4 linked regions of the Drosophila melanogaster genome follow. The protein of the gene in region 1 interacts with the protein of each later gene in a pairwise test. Each region holds a gene or a part of one and is shown in the gene's direction. Other genes may lie near its edges.

What was found.
Region 2: the proteins of trbd (region 1) and nito interact in a two-hybrid assay, tested with the Drosophila melanogaster proteins (one large-scale study listed by BioGRID).
Region 3: the proteins of trbd (region 1) and CG5089 interact in a two-hybrid assay, tested with the Drosophila melanogaster proteins (one large-scale study listed by BioGRID).
Region 4: the proteins of trbd (region 1) and RpL40 interact in a two-hybrid assay, tested with the Drosophila melanogaster proteins (one large-scale study listed by BioGRID).

The regions. Positions count from the first base shown.
Region 1 is NT_033777.3:9,705,496-9,712,839, reverse strand, and holds trbd (trabid), read left to right. Parts: upstream 1-1,802; 5' UTR 1,803-2,359; intron 2,360-3,291; 5' UTR 3,292-3,324; coding exon 3,325-3,452; intron 3,453-3,515; coding exon 3,516-4,104; intron 4,105-4,164; coding exon 4,165-4,372; intron 4,373-4,428; coding exon 4,429-5,155; intron 5,156-5,220; coding exon 5,221-5,465; intron 5,466-5,521; coding exon 5,522-5,733; intron 5,734-5,799; coding exon 5,800-5,948; intron 5,949-6,013; coding exon 6,014-6,092; 3' UTR 6,093-6,844; downstream 6,845-7,344. Other genes in the region: dmt (dalmatian), read right to left, coding at 1-1,090, 1,150-1,630. UniProt on the Drosophila melanogaster protein: Positive regulator of the Wnt signaling pathway. Specifically cleaves 'Lys-63'-linked ubiquitin chains. May act by deubiquitinating APC protein, a negative regulator of Wnt-mediated transcription.
Region 2 is NT_033778.4:7,960,571-7,968,469, forward strand, and holds the start of nito (spenito), read left to right. Parts: upstream 1-1,892; 5' UTR 1,893-2,033; intron 2,034-2,198; 5' UTR 2,199-2,272; coding exon 2,273-2,823; intron 2,824-2,881; coding exon 2,882-4,712; 3' UTR 4,713-4,756; exon of another isoform or gene 4,757-6,170; intron 6,171-6,207; exon of another isoform or gene 6,208-6,268; coding exon of another isoform or gene 6,269-6,434; intron 6,435-6,488; coding exon of another isoform or gene 6,489-6,688; intron 6,689-6,748; coding exon of another isoform or gene 6,749-6,829; intron 6,830-7,055; coding exon of another isoform or gene 7,056-7,124; exon of another isoform or gene 7,125-7,147; intron 7,148-7,315; coding exon of another isoform or gene 7,316-7,438; exon of another isoform or gene 7,439-7,454; intron 7,455-7,558; exon of another isoform or gene 7,559-7,899. Other genes in the region: Septin5 (septin 5), read right to left, coding at 1-1,079; CG14763 (uncharacterized protein), read right to left, coding at 6,269-6,434, 6,489-6,688, 6,749-6,829, 7,316-7,438. UniProt on the Drosophila melanogaster protein: RNA-binding protein that acts as an associated component of the WMM complex, a complex that mediates N6-methyladenosine (m6A) methylation of mRNAs. M6a modification plays a role in the efficiency of mRNA splicing and is required for sex determination.
Region 3 is NT_033778.4:16,597,100-16,600,931, forward strand, and holds CG5089 (uncharacterized protein), read left to right. Parts: upstream 1-1,648; 5' UTR 1,649-1,868; coding exon 1,869-3,179; 3' UTR 3,180-3,312; downstream 3,313-3,832. Other genes in the region: CG8303 (uncharacterized protein), read right to left, coding at 805-1,098.
Region 4 is NT_033779.5:4,225,769-4,229,095, forward strand, and holds RpL40 (ribosomal protein L40), read left to right. Parts: upstream 1-1,930; 5' UTR 1,931-2,039; intron 2,040-2,243; 5' UTR 2,244-2,256; coding exon 2,257-2,643; 3' UTR 2,644-2,793; downstream 2,794-3,327. Other genes in the region: CG3702 (uncharacterized protein), read right to left, coding at 1-999, 1,079-1,120.

The DNA.
Region 1 (7,344 bases):
GTTCTCCGAGGATTCGGCAGGTGCACAAAGTTCTCCGCATTCTCTTCGCTTTCCTGGTCATTGATCGACATCGATTTGCTAATTGTGGGAGGGGGACGGTTCTCCTCATTCGAGTCGTTCGCATTTGAGTCATGATTTTGCTCGTGCAAAGGCGGACAAATGGATTCCTCGTGAGGGATGTTCTCAGCATGCTCTACCGGCGAATCTGGCACATAGACATGCCGACGTTGCACATGATCACTGGAGTACGATGGCATCTGGGAGTTGTTGAAACCAAACATGAAAGTATTGGGCAATGGTGAATCGTCGGAAACGCGCCAGGGGGATTTGCCTCCCGCGGTCCTAACTGCATTTGGAGACTGGTGGGCAATAGGCGACAATGCAGTGGTGGTGGCACTAACATCTGTCACCGGAGGAGCTCTGCGATTCAGCGGCGTGCTAACCAATTGTCGCGCCATGTTGATAAGTTCTCGACGTCTGTCTGTAGATGGCAGTGGATTTTGCGCCTGGGTCTGGTTAAGCATTACGGATCGGGCCAAATTACTGTAGGCTCCTTCGTGCGCTTGCTTAGAAGTGCTCGGCTCCACATGTACCTGGACGGGCACTTCGATGGGCTGCACGTATCCGTGCTCCGAATCGTTGCTATAATCTTCCTCGGGCTCGAAAATGGTCGATAAGGAGCGTGATGGCTTTTGAAGGCGCGGTTCTATGGACTTGGGAACGACCTTGACTGGCTCAGGCTCATTGTCTTTTGTCGAAACCTTTCTTCGATTACCCACAGGTCGGACCTTCTTTGCTGTTCTTTTGGCTCTCGGTTTGCCGATTTTTCTTGACCGCACCATTACGCAGGCCTTTCCATCCTTAACCAAACGCTGAATTATGTCTGCCGCCGGATCCTCCCTGTCACTGTCATCTTCGATCTGCGACTGCGACAGAAAATCGAAAACGTTGCGGGTCACCGATGATCGTGTCCTGGTTAAAGGCTGATCTCTGTGGAAGAAACGAGGTGGTTTTTTGGGCGAAATCTCAGCTGCCGGTCCACTAGGGCTTTTACTCCTTATGCGTTGCTGACATGGCGATGTTTCGGGACCTGCAAGTAGTTGTGCTTATCAAGAAAAGTCCATCATCCGCCTGGTGAGAGCCTCTTACCTGCCACATTTTCCTTGATATTTTGGGGTTGCGTTGATTTCTGTACCTTCGAAGGAATGTACATCGTCGAGTTGCGAGCCGGCTCAAAAGTGCTGGCATCCACATCAGGCGCATCATTTCGAGAAATTTCGGATACGACACCGTTTTTTACCTTAATGCGCCTTATTTTTACCACGCATTTTCTTATGCGACACTCTGGCTCGTTTAGGGCTGTCAAAGATTGTTTGTTTGATAGTTTCGTGGGACGCCCGGGTTTTCGTATTATCGTGGTCAAATCAGCTCCGAGTTTCTTGGGACGCCCGGGTTTACGTATTGTGGTCAAATCAGCTCCGATGGACAGCTTCTTGGGACGCCCGGGTTTGCTTATCGTTGTGCTTAAGTCAGCTCCGATGGACTGTTTCTTGGGACGCCCGGGATTGCGTCTCGTTGCGGTGTTCACATCTGGCGACGGAACACACGGCACCGGCCGTGTTCTTACCATTTTAAGAATATAATTTGTTTACCAAATGAAATTCATGTACAGCTCCCGCCATTTTATTTACTAGTATGACCATCCCCCGATCTCTAAGACTTGCCATGAAAACCACTGAACACCAGTAGGTGTGAAGCTTGACTAACCAGCTAACCGAGACACTTTTCAACACTGAGCGCCAGGGACGGAGCACCGATAGTTGTCGATAGGCGGACAGAGAACCAGATGATTGGCCTCGCAATAATGTAAAAAATAAATAATTAGCTGTTTCCAAATAATCCAAATTCCAAATTCCTTGCACTACGATCCACCGTGCGTGTGTTCGTCGCCGTGAATGTGTGCGGGCAGTTTCGTTTCACGCGCCCCAAGCAAGTACAGCTGAAAATTGAGAAGGAAAGCAAGAAAGAAAACCCCCCAAACTGAAAATCGAGTGAAAGTTTTCTCATCGTCTTTGTTTTGTAATTGTGATTTTCCTGCCTGCTGCCAGCGCTCATTACTGGCAATATTGGATCGACGTCGACATAGTGTCGCTGCTGCGGGCGCGGGTGGCCGACGGCGACTATAGCAACTACACCTTATAGCTACTATAATACTAATGCTATACTCGCGGTCCCTATTGTGATTGTGTTATATATTTAAATCGACTCGATTCGAATCGAATCCAATCGCTGTCGTGGTCGCAGTCGCATTCGCGTTTTCTGGGACTGCTGCAAAAGGCCTTGCGATTTTCTGCGCCAGGTACTGTGTAAAGACGTCGATGTGGGAAGGGGGGTGGAGGCGGTTGTGGGATGGTTGGGATGGCACGGGGCGAATCCCAATAAGAAACTAGCGCGAAAACTGGCATACCAGCGTACATACATACGTACGTACATCGCACGCGACACATGCCATACATACATAGGCGAATTATAATGGCAACAAATAAATGCAACCGACCCAGCAGTTGAACCACTACCACCTATACCACCACTACTACCAAAACCAGACCCTATCCAATTCATTCCAATCCAATCCCAGGCAACGAGAACCCGAAGGCTGACTGTGACGCCAGTGGGGGAAATGGAAATGGAGCCAAGGCAGATGTACATATCTGTGGATGTATCTGCGAATTATGTCTCAGGGTCAAGGACACTGCTTCTGCCTCGCTAACCGTTGTTTGACCTTATTAACGAGTCGGAAGTGGTGGATTCGCCGCTCACCGACTTTAGGGATACCCTTTCGGTTCGCTTATCCAAAGAATAGTAGCTTAGTAGATACATTCATTGGTAGATAGTTGTCCCCCAAAACGAGTCATGCATATAGTCTTTATACTTTGCAAAATAAGTCAAGGTAAATTGAAATGTCCTCCAAATTGTAGATTTCCCTGCGTACTTATAAATCCAATATTAGTTTTTAGATAATCTTTTTCTTTTGAATGCAACATCTCATTAACTTCCGACAAAAGTCAACATAGCTATACATTATTGATCAAACTCTTCGTATCTTCAACCAACTTCGACTAAAATGATTGTCTAAGCTTACAATTGTTCAGAAATTAAACTATTTTGAAGTAAAAAAGGCAGCCAGGTGGATTTGACTAGTAAAAGCATATTTTATGGGATCCCCTTACTTGGTGACACTCGTGTATCCCATATCAAATATTCAACGTATGATCCCTTTCTCCTTGGCAGATCAACTGCATTGGCCGGCTCCGCGCATAAACAATGTGCGATACCAAAGACGATGCGCAGAAATGGAAATGTGAAACTTGCACCTACGAGAACTACCCATCCTCGCTGAAATGCACCATGTGCCAGGCGTCCAAGCCGCTGCTCAACGAGGACATCTTCCGGTATGACAACTCTGACGATCTATACCTAATCTTCTGCTAATTAATACTTGCTAATTCTTGCAGTCTGAGTCCAGCCCAGGAGAGCTGCACCGTTGCGGAGGAGGCGGCTGCCGTCGAAGTAGCCGTAATGTCGCCCACACCTTCGTCCACGTGCTACTCGCTCCAGCCGCAGAGCCAGGCACGGCAGAGCAACGTGGCGGACAGCGAAAAGTGGCCCTGCAAGGTGTGCACCTATCTCAATTGGCCGCGGAGCCTGCGCTGCGTTCAGTGCTGCACGAAGCGCGGTGGCGAGGCGATAGAGCGTGGCAAAAAGGACATGGATAACGAGGCGGACGGGGATCGTGCAGGAGAGGCGCTGCAAGCCCTTCGCATCAGCGGCTCGGAGGAGAACCTGGCCAATAAGCCGGTTCAGCTCATCGGCGCCACGGCCTCCCATCGTTTGAGCCTTAGTCGTGGCATAGACGATGCGACCCATCTGAACAATCTCGCCAATGCGTCTCACAACCAGTCGCAGTCCCAGCACCGGCAGCCTGTCCTACAGCAGCAGATGCAGCTCCAGCTGCAGCCGCAGCAACAGCGGGAATCCTCATCCTCCGCCGCCGTCCCGCCGCAGCAGCAGAAGCAGTGCTATGTCTCCAAATGGGCGTGTAACGTAGGTTTTCATATCCCAACCAATTCGCTCAGATGTACTTAAAGTTAGAATTTTCCTTAGTCTTGCACTTACGAAAACTGGCCGAGGAGCATCAAGTGCTCCATGTGCGGCAAGACGAGGGAGCGGGAGATTAGTGGGTCGCAGAACGACTTGCACGCCTCATCCAGCCTAAACAGTCAGGAGGAGAATCAGCAACAACTGCAGCAGCCAAACGTGGATACCGTCAGCGTCAATAACTCGTTCAATAAGAAGCACATTTACCAACTGGGTAAGAGTTTTTAATGTGATTTCTCTGGGTATGACTAATTGATATTCACTTTCCAGGTTCTTCGGAAACCATCAACAACTGTGATACGCTGCAAGAGCGTCAGGAGCGCCGCCAGCGTCAAATCCGACGACAGGTGGACTGGCAGTGGCTGAATGCGTGCCTGGGCGTCGTGGAGAACAACTACAGCGCTGTGGAGGCGTACCTCTCCTGCGGTGGCAATCCAGCCCGTTCGTTGACCAGCACCGAGATTGCCGCCCTCAACCGCAACTCGGCCTTCGACGTGGGCCACACCCTGATCCACCTGGCCATTCGTTTTCATCGCGAGGAGATGTTACCGATGCTGCTGGACCAGATCTCCGGTTCGGGGCCGGGCATCAAGCGTGTGCCGTCCTACGTGGCTCCCGACTTGGCGGCCGATATCCGGCGCCACTTTGCCAATACCCTGCGCTTGCGCAAGTCCGGTCTACCCTGCCACTATGTGCAAAAGCACGCCACCTTCGCCCTCCCCGCCGAGATTGAGGAGCTGCCGATACCCATACAGGAGCAGCTCTACGATGAGCTGCTCGACCGCGACGCGCAGAAACAGCTGGAGACGCCGCCGCCGGCCTTGAATTGGTCGCTGGAGATCACTGCTCGCCTGAGCTCACGGATGTTTGTACTGTGGAACCGCAGTGCTGGCGACTGCCTGCTGGACTCGGCCATGCAGGCCACCTGGGGCGTCTTCGATCGTGACAATATCCTTAGGCGGGCACTCGCCGACACACTGCACCAGTGCGGGCATGTGTAAGTTAAACGAATTTGTTTTAACAACCGTCAGCTTATTAATAGTCTTGATACTCTTATTGTAGGTTCTTTACTCGCTGGAAAGAGTACGAGATGCTGCAGGCTTCGATGCTCCACTTTACGCTGGAGGACTCTCAGTTCGAGGAGGACTGGAGTACACTACTGTCATTGGCCGGCCAACCCGGCTCGTCCCTGGAGCAACTGCACATCTTTGCGCTGGCGCATATCCTTCGTCGGCCGATTATCGTTTACGGCGTGAAGTACGTCAAGAGTTTTCGGGGCGAGGACATTGGATACGCGCGTTTCGAAGGTAGCTATTAATTTTTACGTCGCTGTATTGCATTTATTTGATTGCCTTATTTCTAGGTGTCTACTTGCCTTTGTTCTGGGATCAAAACTTTTGCACCAAGTCACCGATAGCACTGGGCTACACACGTGGCCATTTCAGCGCCCTGGTGCCGATGGAGCCATTCACTCGCATCGATGGGCGGCGTGACGATGTGGAGGACGTAACCTATCTCCCGCTAATGGACTGCGAGCTGAAACTTTTGCCCATACATTTCCTTACACAGTCGGAGGTGAGAGCTTATTCAAATATCCTGTAGAACATTGTGAGCTTAGACATTTCCGTTCCTTGCCTGCAGGTTGGCAACGAGGAGTCAATGATGCGTCAATGGCTGGACGTGTGCGTAACTGATGGAGGCCTACTGGTGGCGCAACAAAAGCTAAGCAAGCGTCCCTTGCTGGTCGCCCAGATGCTGGAAGAGTGGCTAAATCACTACCGCCGCATTGCGTAAATATGACTTGCTCTCCTTCCGGACATAGACATGCTAATTAAACCTGTAAACTTTCTTTCAGACAAGTGATAACGGCGCCTTTCATTCGTCGCCCTCAAATCACACATTACTCCAGTGATGGCGACTCGGATGAGGAGTAGAGGATATGATGCGGCACATCCGTCACCCAGCTTCTGATTAGGATGCTGTGCATAGAATTCAATATCCTTATTTTGTACTTTTGGCGATCGTTAGCAGATTTTTGAGACAGGAATAACAAGTGCAGATCCTACACTCTTGCACTCGCAGCTAGCTAAAGGAAACTATAGAGAATACATATGCATATATGCAAGCAGTTGAAAGTTGTAGTTGTAACTAAATTGAAAGCAAACTAAAGGTTAAGTAGCAACGTACGAAAATAGATTGATCGACGTATGTATATCATATCCGTTCCCAAGTCAACGTTCGTTGATTTTAGTCAAATTTATTCACACTGGGTCGTCGAGGCAATATAGACCACATTTACTACGAAATTGAAGCTATACACTGGTAGATTTAATTACACTCACATGTGAAACAATCCATTAAATGATTACGTGTACGAAAGGCAGATGCGAATTTAAGCGGTGGAATTTGTACACCTATGTACGCGGTAGTTAATGTGAATACCCAAGCTCCGGACTTAAAATATTGCAAATCTCAATGTACTATTAAATTTTAAATGGGTGGCGAACACACAACATAATTATGCAGCGGGTGAAAATGAAAGCGTCATTGAAATGTTTATTGATAGTTTTTAAAACACTTTTTGGAATTATTATGAATCATTATACATTCATGCCTATAAATATAATATCTATAATTATATAACATATATAGAAATCCTATGGTTCTAGACAGTTGAACAAAGGGCCAATAACATAATGAATTTTATTCTTATTGTATTATAAATGGAATTTTATCTCATTATTATTTTTGTTAGTAATGTTATTACAATTATTATTATTAACTTCTAAGAAAGCTTATTGTGCAAATGTACACGCAAAACGCATAAAAAAAATCACTTATTTAAATAAAAGTTTTAAGTAAAGATTTAAACGGAAACAAAATGACTATAGTTGAATTTATTTTAATAAAGTATGGACTTTCCTACTTTATTGCCCAAACTAACTTTACTAGTAGATAGATAAAAAAAAGTAGTTCATTATTATTTCTGTCTCTATAAAGTACAAAGTAAATTATAAGCAGCATCATTTATGGAATTACTTGTTATTTTTATAGATTATCAAATTTATAGGGAACGGTACAGTGGCACGAACGGTGTCATCACTAATACATGCTCTTCCACAGCCGAGCTCCCCACCTTTCCAATTGTAGCCAAGTTTAACACCCAACCGCTATTTCCATACGAAA
Region 2 (7,899 bases), on another chromosome or scaffold:
TCGTTCTCCTTCTGCTTGACCCGCTGAACGAACATTTGGCGCACTTCCTCCTCCTTGGCCTGTAGGCAAGCCAGATGGTCGGATCGCTTCGACTCGAAGGTCTGTTGGAAGGAGACCGGCTGGTTGTTGCTGTCCACGTCCACAAAGCCCATTTGTTGTAGGCGCCGCTGGCGGAAGAGCTCATAGTGGCGTGTGTGAGTCTGTTCGCGCAGATCCTCCATGTTAGTGCGAATGAGCATCTCGCGCAGCTTCACAAAGTCGCAGTGCGCCTCGTTTTCTATGTGCACCGCTCCCCATGGATATTGGCGGGCACGAACCTGCTTTCCGGCCACCTTTACAAACTCCGTACTGCCAACAACGGCAAAGGGTAGATGGCCGTTCATCGCAGCATTTGTTTCGGACACGGTTTCGTCGTCCATGGGAAACTGGTATATGCTCACATTGTTCCGCCGTAGTTCGTCCATTATGCGTTCCTTAAACCCCGACAGCTCCGACTTGGAGATGGTGTCGGCCTTCGCGATCACGGGAATGATGTTCACCCTAGTGTCAAGCTGCTTCATGCACACCAAATCCATAGCTTTCAGACCATGGCCCGTGGGACAGATGAAGTACAGGCAGGCGTGAACGCGTCCATCATGAGCACTGGCCATCGCTCGCTGGATCTTGAGCTCTTCCTGCAAATACGCTTCAAACTGGCTGTCCACGTACTCCACCAAAGCCTTGTAGCTGTCCGCTTTATTAACCTGATCTCCGTATCCGATCGTGTCACAGACGGTCAGCTTCAGGCGGACGTTGCTCTCCTGCAGCTCGTATGTATTTGCCTTCAGCTTCACATTGGGCAGGTTGTGCGGGCTCGGTGTAGATCCAAAACTGGTATTGAACAGTGTGTCCATGAGAGTGGATTTCCCGAGAGCGGTCTCGCCGATGCATAGGATATTGAAGCTAAAGCCATTCTGGACGCTCTTGTTGACCAGCTGGTCCGGTAGGGTGTCGAACCCCACGTGGCCGCCGAGTTGAAGGAGCCTGGGGACTTTGGTTGCCACCTCCTGCGTCTTCTTTTCAGTCACTAAATGAACCATTTCGCCAGTGCTTTCGTTAGAATAATGTCACGACCCAGCGCAGGCGCCACTCTTTATACCCGGAATTCTCGTATGTGCAGCCTGTGTAAACCCTAGTCGTTTTTCTTAATAAGCCATTTGGATTTTCCTGCATCTGGTGGCGTACCGAGAATTAAACTGTATCTAAGAGTTTTCTACCTGTGATTCCTTTTACCTGCAGCCTTGACGATTTTAAATGCGGTGCCCGCCTCAGTTGTCTATCGAGACAGTTCTGCGCGACTATATCGATTAAAGCAGCTTCAACTAACATTTATCAATTGCAGTTAAACAACGATGGATTATTCGATCAAAATGAATTTTATTTATCAGAAAGATAGTCTTGCGACAGTACATTTTATATATGATTTCTGGACTATGACGCCACGGCTGGCTCGAATGAAGTCCCATCTGGACGTATTATATTCGATGACTTTTTCCAACATTTGTGGTCATATATCGGCAATAACACGGCAAATGTTAAGTCGGTCGCGATTTTGAACAGTAATGCCAACTTAAAGTTCTCCACCTCATAAAAAAATCCTTTACAAAACGTATATCGCGTTGTCTTAATCTCGCGTGTTTTAAAGATTTATGATCTTAAAACTTAAAAACTTTTATTGTTATATCTAAGTTCGCCGAAATATATTACAGAAATAGAAACCTATTAAAAACTACATTGAAATTATATATGATTATAACTATGTCATTATATAAAAATGAATCAAACGTTTGGCTATAAAATGGACAAATATGGCTCGATACCATGAACGGGACCATCAATGGCGATAGCAAACACGTATCGTTATCGAATACCGCAGTTAACTTTCGACGCATACAGAATTTGCAAAGCCGGAGGAAATTGAAGAATTTGTGGAATATCCGCGACTTAATAGTAAACTAGCACTTAAAAATAAACATCCAAAAAAGCCGGAAGTGGTAAGAACTCTAAAAACGATCTGAATTGCTCTGATTTTAGAATTTTTCCGCCTAACGCGATTTTCTTTGTTTGCGGGGCGCCGCCATTTTCTTTTTACCTGACCGCCGCTTGTCTTCTTGCATTTCGCCCGTACTTTCACAAAGCAAATCTCGAATTCTTCGCAGAATCCCCGGAACTAAATTGCCAGAAAGTTCTCAGGCAGCACACACCGAGTTAAAGCGCCCCGGAATAGCCGCCCATGAGTAGTCATCGAGACGGAGCCGGAGCCGATCGTATCACAATCAAAATTCACAACATGAAGCGTAGCGCCTCGCGCTCCCCGGGCCCGGCCTCCAGGAGCAGTTTGTCGCGCAACTCGCGAAGCATGGGTCGTGGGTACGACAACGGCAGCGGCGTGCCTGGCGATTCGCCGGAGCGCCTGTCGCCGGAGCGCATGCGACGTCGATTGGACCGCTCGCCGAGTCGTTATGGCTCCCCGCACCGGGAGCCCTACATGCGTGGTCCACCGCCTGCAGAGCGACCAGCTGGCTACAAGGTACTTTGCGTCAGTGCCCTGCCGCCAAAGGCTCCGGACGATTTTATCGAGGAGACACTGTACCGCGAGTACAAGAAGTTTGGCGATTTTAGCGTGCGACTGGCGCACGACTTGGATGAACGGGTTGCTTACGTTTGCTTCCGAACGCCTGAAGATGCACGCGAGGCGAAGCACCATAAGCCGCGCCTGATCATCTACGACAAGATGGCCATTGTGGAGCCGGTGTACAAGTCCACAACCAGACCGGAATATAGGTGGGATTTATTTTTGTATTTATTTTGTTAGCCTTGGCTAATCTAAGATGCTTTGCAGACCACGCGGTCACTCAATGTCCCCACCGGACTATGAACGTTACCACTACTCGAGGTCCCCTATGGGACAAGGCGTTCCTTTGGATCACCGTCGACCTCCGATTGATCCCTACGATCGGTACGGTCCTCCCCATATGCATCCGCACGCAGTCCATCCACGTGATTACCGCCCATTGCATCATGACTATCCTCATCCGCCACGCGGACCACCTTTGCATCGCGGCGGCCATCCGCATCACCTCCATGGCCATGCGCCGCCCCATCAGTATGCTCCAATGAGGCCATTGGCACCACGCCCACACGCTCCCTATGAAAAGCCTGAGAGCAAGAAGGACAAGTTCCCCAATTACTTGCACCATGTGCAGCCCGAGGATGATCCTCTTTCTACGCGCACACTGTTTGCAGGAAATCTGGAGGTTACCATCGCCGACGACGAACTGCGTCGCATCTTTGGCAAATACGGAGTGGTAGATGACATCGACATCAAGCGACCGCCGCCGGGTACGGGGAACGCGTTCGCGTTTGTACGTTACCAAAACCTGGATATGGCTCACCGAGCGAAGATCGAATTGTCTGGACAGTACATTGGCAAGTTTCAGTGCAAGATCGGATACGGGAAAGTGACTCCGGCAACTCGTATGTGGATCGGAGGCTTAGGTGCCTGGACTTCTGTCACTCAGCTGGAGCGAGAGTTTGATCGCTTCGGTGCGATCAAGAAGATTGAATACCAGAAGGGCGAGCCGTACGCTTATATTCAGTACGAGACAGTGGAGGCAGCCACGGCGGCGGTAAAGGAGATGCGAGGATTCCCATTGGGTGGACCGGAGCGTCGACTCCGCACGGACTTTGCCGAGTTGCCCGGCGCCACACCGGCAGCGCCTTTCAAGAGCTCAAAGCCGCCATATGATGAAAGTGCGTTGGAGTACAGACGTCCGGAATACGATCCGTATTACGAAGAGTCCGCCGCCTACGCTCCGCGCGGTGGCTATTCTCCGTATCCACCTAGGGGTGGCTACCGTGGACGTGGGGGATATCGCGGAAGAGGAAGAGGCATGTACCATTATCACAACGACGTGCATAGGCCGCCGCATCCTGGCTCCTTAGCAGGTTCCTCTTCTTCAGTTCCCCCTCCCGGCGGAGTGGAGGATGAGTGGCGACGCCCGCCAGGAGAATCGTACGACAGAGGAGCCCGCTCCAGCTCTCGGGAACCTGGTGTAGAACGCTCTCGTTCTAGATCCCCATTGAAGCGGGCTCGCTCTCCCGGATCTGATTCTGACACCTCGACTCGTCGGAACGACGCCCTTGCATCAGCCAGTACGGTTCCAGATGTGGCGCGCAAGTGCAGCACAGTGTGGACCGGAGCGCTAATCCTCAAGAGCTCACTGTTCCCAGCCAAGTTTCATTTGACGGACGGAGATACGGATATTGTGGAGTCGCTGATGCGCGATGAGGAGGGCAAGCACAACCTACGTATCACCCAGCGACTGCGTCTGGATCCGCCCAAGCTGGACGACGTGCAAAAACGTATTGCATCCTCATCGTCGCACGCCATTTTCATGGGTCTGGCAGGGTCCACAAACGACACCAATTGCGACGATGCCAGCGTGCAGACGCGACCACTAAGAAACTTGGTTTCCTATCTTAAGCAGAAGGAGGCGGCTGGCGTGATCTCGCTGCTTAACAAGGAGACGGAGGCAACTGGGGTGCTGTACGCCTTCCCCCCCTGCGACTTTTCCACAGAGCTGCTAAAGCGCACTTGTCACAGTCTGACGGAGGAGGGCCTGAAGGAGGATCACCTGGTGATTGTGGTGGTGCGCGGCGGAACGGCCTGAGCTGGAGCGGCTGGCGACGGTGGGGATGGGAGGACAAACTGTAGGTAATAACTAGCCACAGTGCTCAAGGAAAATCTCCGCCACATCTAATTATAGCATAGCAGCCGTAGTCGTATCTTAGCTCGTCCTCTCCCAAGTGGAGGACACCCGGGGGCCACATACATGCAAGGGACGTGTATGCGGCTCCTCCAAGCACCGCACACACGCACATACACACACATGATGCACACATACAGAGACAGAAGCAGAACCGAGGAGACTTCACCCACACCTCATGACCCAAAAACCCCGCATTAATTAACCATTAATTAACCTTCTTTTGCAGACAGGATCTCTCTTTTGGTTTTAGTTCAAGTTCTCGATGTGTTAGTGACAGTGAAGTTTATACATCCTTTTCATTATTGTGCTAAAAAGTTTGAAAAATCGTTCATGATTGTATCTAAAGCTACCCATACAAATTATCCAATTTTATTATGTTAAAGTGTACAACAGTATGAAAACAACACGAGTAAAAACAAAAATCAAATATTTTCCATAAAAAAAACTCCATTCGAGTGTCCGCATATGATCAACAACTAGTGCGAAATAATGTCGATGAAAAGTTTTTGTGTTCCTTAAAATTGATTTTCCATTTTGATTTGTGTTACGCTGATGATTTTGCCTTTGCCCTTTCGTTTGTGTTCGATGGCGAGAAGGCAGTGCGACCAAAAGTGCGCCCAGTAGTGGTCTGATTGTCCAGTTGGGTCCAAAATAAGATTGCAAAGTGGCTCCAGAAGTTGTTTGCAGTGCAATTTCCCAATCAGTGCGAAGTGCTTAACTCCAGCTGAGTTTCAGTTCCCCTCGATCTCCAAGAGGTTCTTTGGTGTTTCTGGCCGCTGGGTGCGTGAAAGTGGCTGGCGATTCCATATCGTGTTCCGATCCCCGATCAATATCCGTCTTCCATCCGAAGAGAGAACGTCGTGTAGCATTTGCTCCAAAATGTCTATGCTGTTTGATTTGGTTTGGCAATTGTTACATTGGTTTTCTTGTGGCTGCGCTCAACAGAAGAATAAGAATAAGAATAGTGTTTTGTTTATAATTTATGCAAGCGTTCATGCTACATTTGTTTCAGTGAGTTCAAGTGTCATTCCACGGACCGAGATCAGTTTATACACAATGATAATCCAATCCGAGCAGTTCACCCAGTGCATGTGCTGTGTATGCGTGTGTTCGCAAATCTATTATTTATATATATATATATATATCAATCGTAATATGTACACTCAAAGGTAGTAATAACGATCAAACGCAGTTGTCTTGCATCATTAGACGGATGTTCGAAAGTAATTTATGCTTCAACAAAATATTATATCAAACTATTGTACTGATATCCAAATAAACGACAACTATCGCATCCTACGTGTTAAAAATGTGAGTTGTGAGTTACAGTGCAAGCAAGTGTTTAAGAAAGTGAACCATCTGCTGACCAAAGAAGGTAACGAAATTAAGCACCATTGCTAGCATCAACATCAATTTTATTACCAAGTGGAACGCGCCAGGGCCCTGGAATCGCGTTCTTAATCGTAGTACAGGTAAAAGGTGGTGCAGACTGCAAAGTACGAGGGTCTCTCCACGCTGTAGGTCACAAATCCGTCTTTTTCAGCATCCCACAGGAAGTTGACCATGGAGTAGAGGCCCTGCATCAGGAACTCGCCCACAGTGACCAGCACTATGTAGCGATATCTGGGGCGAAACGGTGGTTAGTTAGACAAAAACTGACCGCCGAACCAAAGTCACCTGTCGTAGTTGTCGAGTTTGATGCGGTTCTTGATTTCCTCGCTCACTTGCGCGGCCATGTGGAGGGAATGCTTGGGATGGAACATGTACTCATCGTTGTAGTGTCGGTTCATCACCGCCTTTATGATGTTCTCCACGCGTTCCTTGTTGAGCGGATTCTTGGACTCCAGGCGGTAGGTGGGCATGAACCGCATGGTGGGCTAGGCATTAAGCAGATCTCAGGGTATAAACACAGCTAGCTGGGCATTTAACGGACTTACCTTGGCTGCCGGAGCACCCATCGGCAAGGAAACGCCCATATGGGACTTGGTCAGCGATCCGCGCTGGCTGCTTGCCGGCCTCTGCATGTCGATGAAATGGGAAACCGAATATGCATGTTAGTTAGGCCACAGCTAGAAGCACAGAGATACCCAAACCCCCAATAGAATCCCCACAAGAAATGGCGTGACTTCGTCAAATTTTAGACGAACCGTATGGTTCCCGTGTTCACATCCCGTTACAAGCATCAATTCATTAAAAAGACATCAATACCCCATTGTAACCATAATGGCAAAATCAATCGTATACCTTCTCACGCTCCTGGCCCAGATAAAGATTCACCAGCCCCGACCAGTTCTTCGCTGCAGCGGCTGCCATTCCTTGCGAATTAATAGAATCGAGTCGGCTCGAGTGCGTAGAGGTTAGCCATAAAACCACAAATGATTATGCCATTAAGTCATTCCCTGCCAGATTACCTGACGGCCTGTCGCCGTGGCAATTCGTGGCGTTTGGCTTTGTTGAATCAATAAAACCAGCCAAATTATGCGCCACTTGTCAGCCCAACTTACCGGCTTAGTGCCCTCGGCCGACTTTTCTTTCTTCTCCTTTTTGCCCTTGCCAGTTTCCGCCTCCTTGGCGGCGGTCTCTGGCACGACATCCTTGCTGCGCCGCTCTTCCGGTGAGTCGCCCATGATCACAATGTTTAACTTGAAATGCTTTTTAGAACTGAACTGGAGCAGAAATATACTAGCCAAGAAGACGAAAGAAAACGACAGCCTGCTAAGATTGTTAAGAAATTGAAAGATCAGCTTACAACAACAATTAGTTTACACTTTATTTGGTTTGCTATATGTGTGGGAATATGCTTCACATTTCGGGTCGGTCTTGCGTTTAAAGTATACATATGAAACATATACACACAGTCAGTAGACAATAATACACATCCATGTTACGATATTTACGTTATTACTGGGTGGTGGTGCTCTTGTGGCCACAAAACATCAATTACATCTATATACACATATTTAAATATAAATATACTCGATACGCTCGGATTCGGTTAAATACACACCTAATAAATTATCTATAAAAAGTAAAACAATAACAGTGCGAATTCTTGGCCACATTTCCTTGTCTTTGTCCTGTTGCTTCC
Region 3 (3,832 bases), on another chromosome or scaffold:
AAGCGGCGAATAAGAGTTTTATATATTGTACATATGTATTCGATATTTTTAAACCAGTTGGAGACCTATTTTTTCTCCTCTAAAGACGGATGTTGAAAATTAATTTCACTACTGTTCGGAGGTTGGCTTGCTAACCATACACGCCCACATTATGGCCAACAAATTATGATTGTTAGCGATGAGTGCTTTTTTCGGTACTTTTACCTTTTTGGGCAACACTCGTAAGTAAGCAATTTTCAAAGCAAACAACATATGATGTTAGCTTCTTTTTGTTGTGCCATTAAAAATGCGTTTAAAAATAAAATAAATTAACGAGTTGTGAAGAGGGCCTAACAAAAGTTGGGGAAAAAACAAAAGACTTTTTGTTGGACCGAAAATTTAAGCACTCTCTAAATATAATTTATATGATTTCAAGGCATTATTTGTACAAACTTATTTTGATTGTAAAAAATGCTTTATGAAAAGATTGCTTGAGCTTAACAATTAAATAAGATAATAATTAGGTTATTTCAAAATTTGTAATTATAGTAAATAACAATTTAAATATTTTCAAAAATCCCAAAAGAGTATTGCACACTTGTGGTTAAAAAAAAAAATGAAAAGAAAAGAAAATGAAAGCCCCATGGAACGCGGCGGAAGAGGTCGGCCAGGTTACGACTTTGACAAATTAACGCTCCATAAAGAGACTCGTAATTGGCTTTAATTATATACCTTGCAGACGGCGCGTCGTGTCAGAGGGCGTGGCCGGTTGCCGCCCCCCTTCGACCGGTCAAAACAATCTAAAACAAATGCCACCAGACTTACCGGCTTTTGGAGCAGGCGACGAATCCGCTCGTTCGGATCAAACTTGCGCTTGCCCCGGACCAAAACGTAGATGGTTCCAATGTCGGGATGTGTGTCCAGCAGAGCCTCGATAAGAACGGTGCCCAGGAATCCAGTGCCGCCGGTGACAAAGATGTTCTTGTGGGCAAAGAACTCCGGTATGGTCAGCGAGGTGCTCAACTGATGGCCATTGACCCGGTGTTTTCCGTTTCCGATGCTATTGTTGTTTTCCGGGGGAGAGGAGGTGGTGCCGCCATGTTCCGTGATGACAGCCATGGTGTAGGGCTCAAGATTCGTCGGCGGCGCCAATTTGCTGCTGAGATTCGAAGACGGTGCGGCAAGCTGTGGCAAAGAAATAAGAAAAGGAAACGCGCCGTGACATCGGTTAGTTCAAGTTCATTAGTCCAACTGGATCGCTGCGATTATGAAACCAAAGCCGGCGATCGAAGAGCGAATCGAAAAAAAAAACCAGACAAACTTCTCAGTGTGTCAAGTTTAGCCAGCGGCGGAAGTGCATCATAAATCTGCTATCAAAATTCGATGGAAGTGGAGTGCGCGATGCGGAAGGCAGACAACCTCCAACGAAGATAAATGCTGCATATTTAAGCTTTCCACACTTTCCCATTTGGGTGTGAAACCTAATGGATAGTTACTTCAAAGGTTAACCGCTTATGTGGTCAGGAAACCTTTTAATGAATACATATTTTGTGCATTTTCAAAGATTGTTTCTAGTATTGGATTAACGTAATGTTAAACGCCAAGTAGGTCATGAGTACCACCTCTATTTTTTGAGTTCAACTGGGATAGCATTGCCTTTTACTTCCTGGGAAAAAATCATCAGCGTTCTCATAATATTCCCAGTTTGCGAAGCGTTCAGTTCACAAAATTTCGGTCTTTAATTTTTGGAGTTAAAAATTTGTAGCTAACAAAATTGAAAATTCAAAAATTCAGTTCGGAGTTTTATTTTCAGACAACACCCTCTCGTGCACGCATCAAAATTTTTAGTTCTGAAAAGGGAGTTCAATCCAAGACGAGTCAATAGCAAGATGAATACCACTTTTAAAATGGCTCGAACGAGCCTGAATCATTCTTGGCGGTTTGTTAGTAACAAAGCCAAGGGGCAATTTTCCAGTTTGCGACGATTACCAGCAGTTACCAGCCAAAATCGTCGCTACGCAGACCGATATACCTTCGACGACCAGACTCAAGCACAAATCCAGGGCATCAAGAAGATGAAAGAGATGTCCGCGGTGCCCCGGGAGTCTCCTTGGCGTGACAGCGAATGGTCTCCCGATTTTCCCGAGCGTTTGGATGAGTTGGGCTACGAGTCCCACTGCAACGATCGCCTCTATATAGCCAAGAACAAAATCCGTCACGAGCAACAAAAATATGAATTGGAACGTGAAGAGCGTCGCAAGCAGGCCCAACGAAGAATCAATAGTCACTTCGCTAAAGGTCAGGCAGAACCGGACTTATTGCGCCGGCGTACCATCTCACAGGATCCGGCCGATCACCAAAGGCGTCAGGAGGCGATTATCGAACAGAATCGCCGTCGATGGCAAAATCGTCCGGAATCTAGGAGGGAAACTAATACCTCCGGCATTACCTATCGTCCGGTTAAGCGAAAGGAAACGTATATTGAGGAGGATATGCAAAGGGAATCGGAGGACTACCAGCGCCAAAGACGCAATACAGAGAGCTCAGAGGAAGCTCAAGACAGCCAGACAGTGGTTTACGATTCCAATCGTCCCACTGCCGATTGGTTGAGGAAGCGCCAGGAGGAGAGCGAGGCGGAGCACTGGCATTCGTGGCACACATGCCCATGCTCCCGGGAGTCGGAGACCACAGAGGAGGTGAAGCCACATTTGAAGCGCAAGAAGGTGGTTGGCATTCCGCCTGCATATCCAAGGGATTACCAACGACGCGGCTACCATCAGATATCCCCACCTGTGTATGCACTGAAAGCCAAGACTATAGTGATGATACCAAAGCGGCGACCATCTGGCATCGATAAGCAGTACCACAAGTTTGCCATGAAACAGGTGGCTCTATGGCAACAGGACTTCGACGCGATCCAGGACAACGGGCAACCACTTCAGATGCCAGGGCTGGTGCCCAAGAAGGAGGAAGAGAAGAAGCCCAAGAGGAAGGAGGAGCGTCGATCCGTGGAACCGCCCCGTTTCCGAATGGTCGTCAAGAGCCGTGCTCCCGCTAGCCGTCCCTCTACTCCCGTATTCAATTACTCCGGCCAGATGGATATGCCGCCCGCCATCGCCGGACCCAGTGCCTACATGGGATCTCATCGCAAATCTAATGGCGAATCCTGGCGCAACTTCTTAAGGGCCAGCAGCTCATAAATGGAGCTCATTTTACTATAGCGTTGTGAATTGCCTTTTTATCCAGAGTTAATATTTGAAAATGAATACTTGCTGAGCTCCTGGCAGAGTTCTGGGATATTATAGTAAAATTTAATATAATTGACGTTGAACGAATTCTATTAACGAATCAGTGAATCATAGTTGGGGGTTGTAGTAAGAAAATTCCACTCGGGAATCTACAAAAAACCGACATATTTCAACAGTCAGCAAACCAATCGATGTAGTAAGTGTTATGGACAAAATGTAGCAAATGAGCAACGTGCTTTTTATAAGTCAAGTAATTAATTCCGACTAGTAATGGCAATTAAAGTTGACGCGTGTAACTGCTGCTTTTGACGTGATAAAGTAGGGGTTCCCATATTTATGGAATAGTTTAGATAACTTCTATTACTCGTAATAGAATGTACCTTTACTTATCCCAGCACTACATTCCAACACTAAACTGAAACGTTGACTAGCACTGGGAACAAAACCAACTACAAAATTCGAGAGCTAATTAACCCTTTCAACTTTCCCACACTTAAGGCCCATTAACCTTTTACTTTAATCACCAAGTGGATTAGAGTGGCTAAGCTTACGTTAATTAATACCCCCAAACTTTCAACTTGTCACACTGCCACAATCGGACCCAT
Region 4 (3,327 bases), on another chromosome or scaffold:
CTCCTTCAGCGAGTCCTGATCCTCGTCACTCTCCTCCGGCTGGCTGGCGGCCATCAGCTCACCGAGCATATTGCCAGCCCACTTGTTCTTCATCTGTTTGGCGGCATACAGCTGCCACTTGAACATGCCCAGCGGCTGGAAAGTGAGGTGCAGCTCCAGTTCGGGAGTGGTCTCATTAATGGGTTGATACTCCCGCTGAAGATTCCAGTAGTCGTTGACGAACAGGATGGGCAGATAGGTCTTACCGCCGTCTACGAACTTTACGTAGTCATCCAGTGGCGGCGGCACAGATCCCTCGGCCCAGTTAGTTTGGTCCACTACGAGATTGACCGTGAGATTAGGATGCCAGTGAGACACGATGGTATCCTTGAGATTCGCATGCTTGAGCTCGTGCTCCAACTTCTCCTTCTCGCTGGCCAGCAAGTTGTAGTTGCGGTTCACACGCAACTTCTTGAACTTGTTCAGCTGATGTTGCTGGTGGCCCATTTTGGTGGCGTAATTCGGGGCTTTGGGATCGGGACTCATGCCGGTACGCGTGACAAAGGCATGTAGGTACACACTGCCATTGTTCATCAGATGCTGGCTGGTCTTAAGCTTCAAACTGTGCGTGTAAATGCCATCTCCGTTGACGCCCGACGTCCAATCGCCATAGGTGAGGTCCTTCTGTAGCCAGAGGAGATTCGCCTTTTGCTGGAAGTTAACCACATCGGGATTCTCCGACAACCACACGTGCAGGTCAAAGTCCGTGCCGTTCTCGAAGTAATTCCAGGCCGTGATCTTGGGACCCGCATTAGCGACACTTTTGCCTTGACTGGCGGCATCGGGCGCAGGTCGTCGGAAAAAGGAGCTCACAAAGTAGATGATCAGGGCACGCAGGATGAGGGACTTGGTCATCGCAAAGAAGGACTCCATGCGGGTGGGCTGATTCGGCGGGGGTTGTTGTTGCTCATTCTGGCCTTCATTTTGGGCCAGCTCAGCGTTACCATTGCCCGCAATCACCTAGAAAAAACGATGAGAACCAGGTCGCTATTGTCAGGTGATTGGGGTTGAGAAAGGTTTAAGTTTCTCAGATACTTACCGCACCCTCTGCTGCGGGCTGATCTTCGCCTGCTTTCGACATGCTCTGTTCTCAAGGGTTTTCCACGCTTTTCCCTTAGTTTCCCGTTTTCCGCACAACTTGTGCTACTGTCATCGATAGGTAAGTGTTGAGGACCTATCGAGCCATTAGAACTTCGATATCGAAAGGGGTATTTTTCAGAATCTATCGATTTGACGCAGAATGGAAAAGCACGGTGTTCTCACTATAAAGACATACTTTTTTCACTAAGTCAAATACAAATTTATTTATTATATGTGACATATTTAGCAATACACATTTTTAGAATATCGTTGGCTTAAATGTATATCCCTTACTTACTTATACTTACTTACTTACTTATACTTATACAACCTAGTATTCAATTATTGTTCTTAGTAAAATGGACAGCAACTTGAATATTTTTGTATAAATTCAAAAGGTTTAATATCTGAAAAAATATTTCATAAATTCATTAAAAATATAATTTAAATCGATTAGGCGGTTTTTCAATAAAAAAAAATATGCGTAATATGTAATATTTGAACCTTATCTAAAATATAATTCTATATACAAGTTTTGATTTCAATTTATTTGTATACAATGCAAATAGCATTTTCATGCCATAATAATATAATTTTGAATTAGCTTAGCTATCAGTGAGGTAGCGTTGGGCTATAAAAAAACACGAAAAACTATATGTTGATATTGTAAAGTTGGTCTCGGTTCAAATGGTAAAGATATTTTGCATTAATTAATTTGAGTGTCTGAATATTTTTTACAGTTCCATTTAGAATGTTTTGGTATTTAAAAAATAGTATTTTGGTATATTTGCAGTGCTCGGCGGCGGCCACACTCTCTTTTCCCTTTTTCTTTTGAATAGCATTTGGTTGCACGTTTCCTCTGGTGAGTTTCCATTAAATATATTAAAAATAAACGAAAAATCGCAATAACGTGGCAGAATGTAAACATATTGTTGTTTAGTGACGTATTTGTGATATGAAAAAGATGGACACTGGTGCTTGTCGACCGGTGGAGCTGTTTCTGTCGAACGAAACATGCCAGCAAGTCGGACCTAACCTCCAATCTTTGCCCGCTCTTTGGGACGCACAAGTTCGCTAAGAAATCGTACGATTTGGTACTGATTTATGTTTTATATTGCTTTCAGTGACGCCGCCATTATGCAGATCTTCGTGAAAACCCTCACCGGCAAGACCATCACCTTGGAGGTGGAGCCTTCTGACACCATCGAGAATGTCAAGGCTAAGATCCAGGATAAGGAGGGCATTCCCCCAGATCAGCAGCGTCTGATCTTCGCCGGCAAGCAGCTGGAGGATGGCCGCACTCTGTCCGACTACAACATTCAGAAGGAGTCCACCCTGCACTTGGTGCTCCGCCTGCGTGGTGGTATCATTGAGCCCTCGCTCAGGATTCTGGCCCAGAAGTACAACTGCGACAAGATGATCTGCCGCAAGTGCTACGCCCGTCTGCATCCTCGTGCCACCAACTGCCGCAAGAAGAAGTGCGGACACACCAACAACCTGCGCCCCAAGAAGAAGTTGAAGTAGACTATGATCATCCGTCGACGGTCCAGGCTGGTCTTTCTATCGACAAAACCATGGTTAACCATCTAAGTAAATATATGTACATTTTGTGAAACCACATCTAATCGAAATGTATTGCATTTGCTGCCAAGGCACAGCCTATTTACACCGTGTATGTTTCTGTTTTCCTGTCATCTGTTTTCGTTTGTGGTCTCCGAAGAACGAGTTTCTGCGGTTTTAGGAAGCTCTTATACTGCAATTAGTTGGCCTCTCCGAGATCTCAGTTAGTTTTTCTGCTCTGTTTCTGGTTCTGTCTCGCCACCAGGAAGCGGGCGACAGCAGCAGGTAATTGATATTCCATCTGCCAGCGATACCAGACCCTTGCGGTCTACTCTTCTGCCCAAGGGAAACAAGGGGACTGGCTGGCTAGTACGCCGCGGATGGTCGAGCAGACCTACTTGGCCAAGCTAAGCCAAGTCCACTTCGAGTACAGTTAATTGGTTTCATTGACCGCCGACTAAGGCGCGCAACGGCTTCCGTGGCCAACTGGTAAACTGGTTGTTGGCGCTCTAATCCATGCTAGCACTTGGTCGTTGGCCCCGCGGAGGCTCTTATTATGAATATCTTAATAACCCAAGAACTGGCTGGTGACGACCCAAAGGGCCTGCCTGATAGGCAGGACATGATAACAAGCGGGAAACCGAGAAG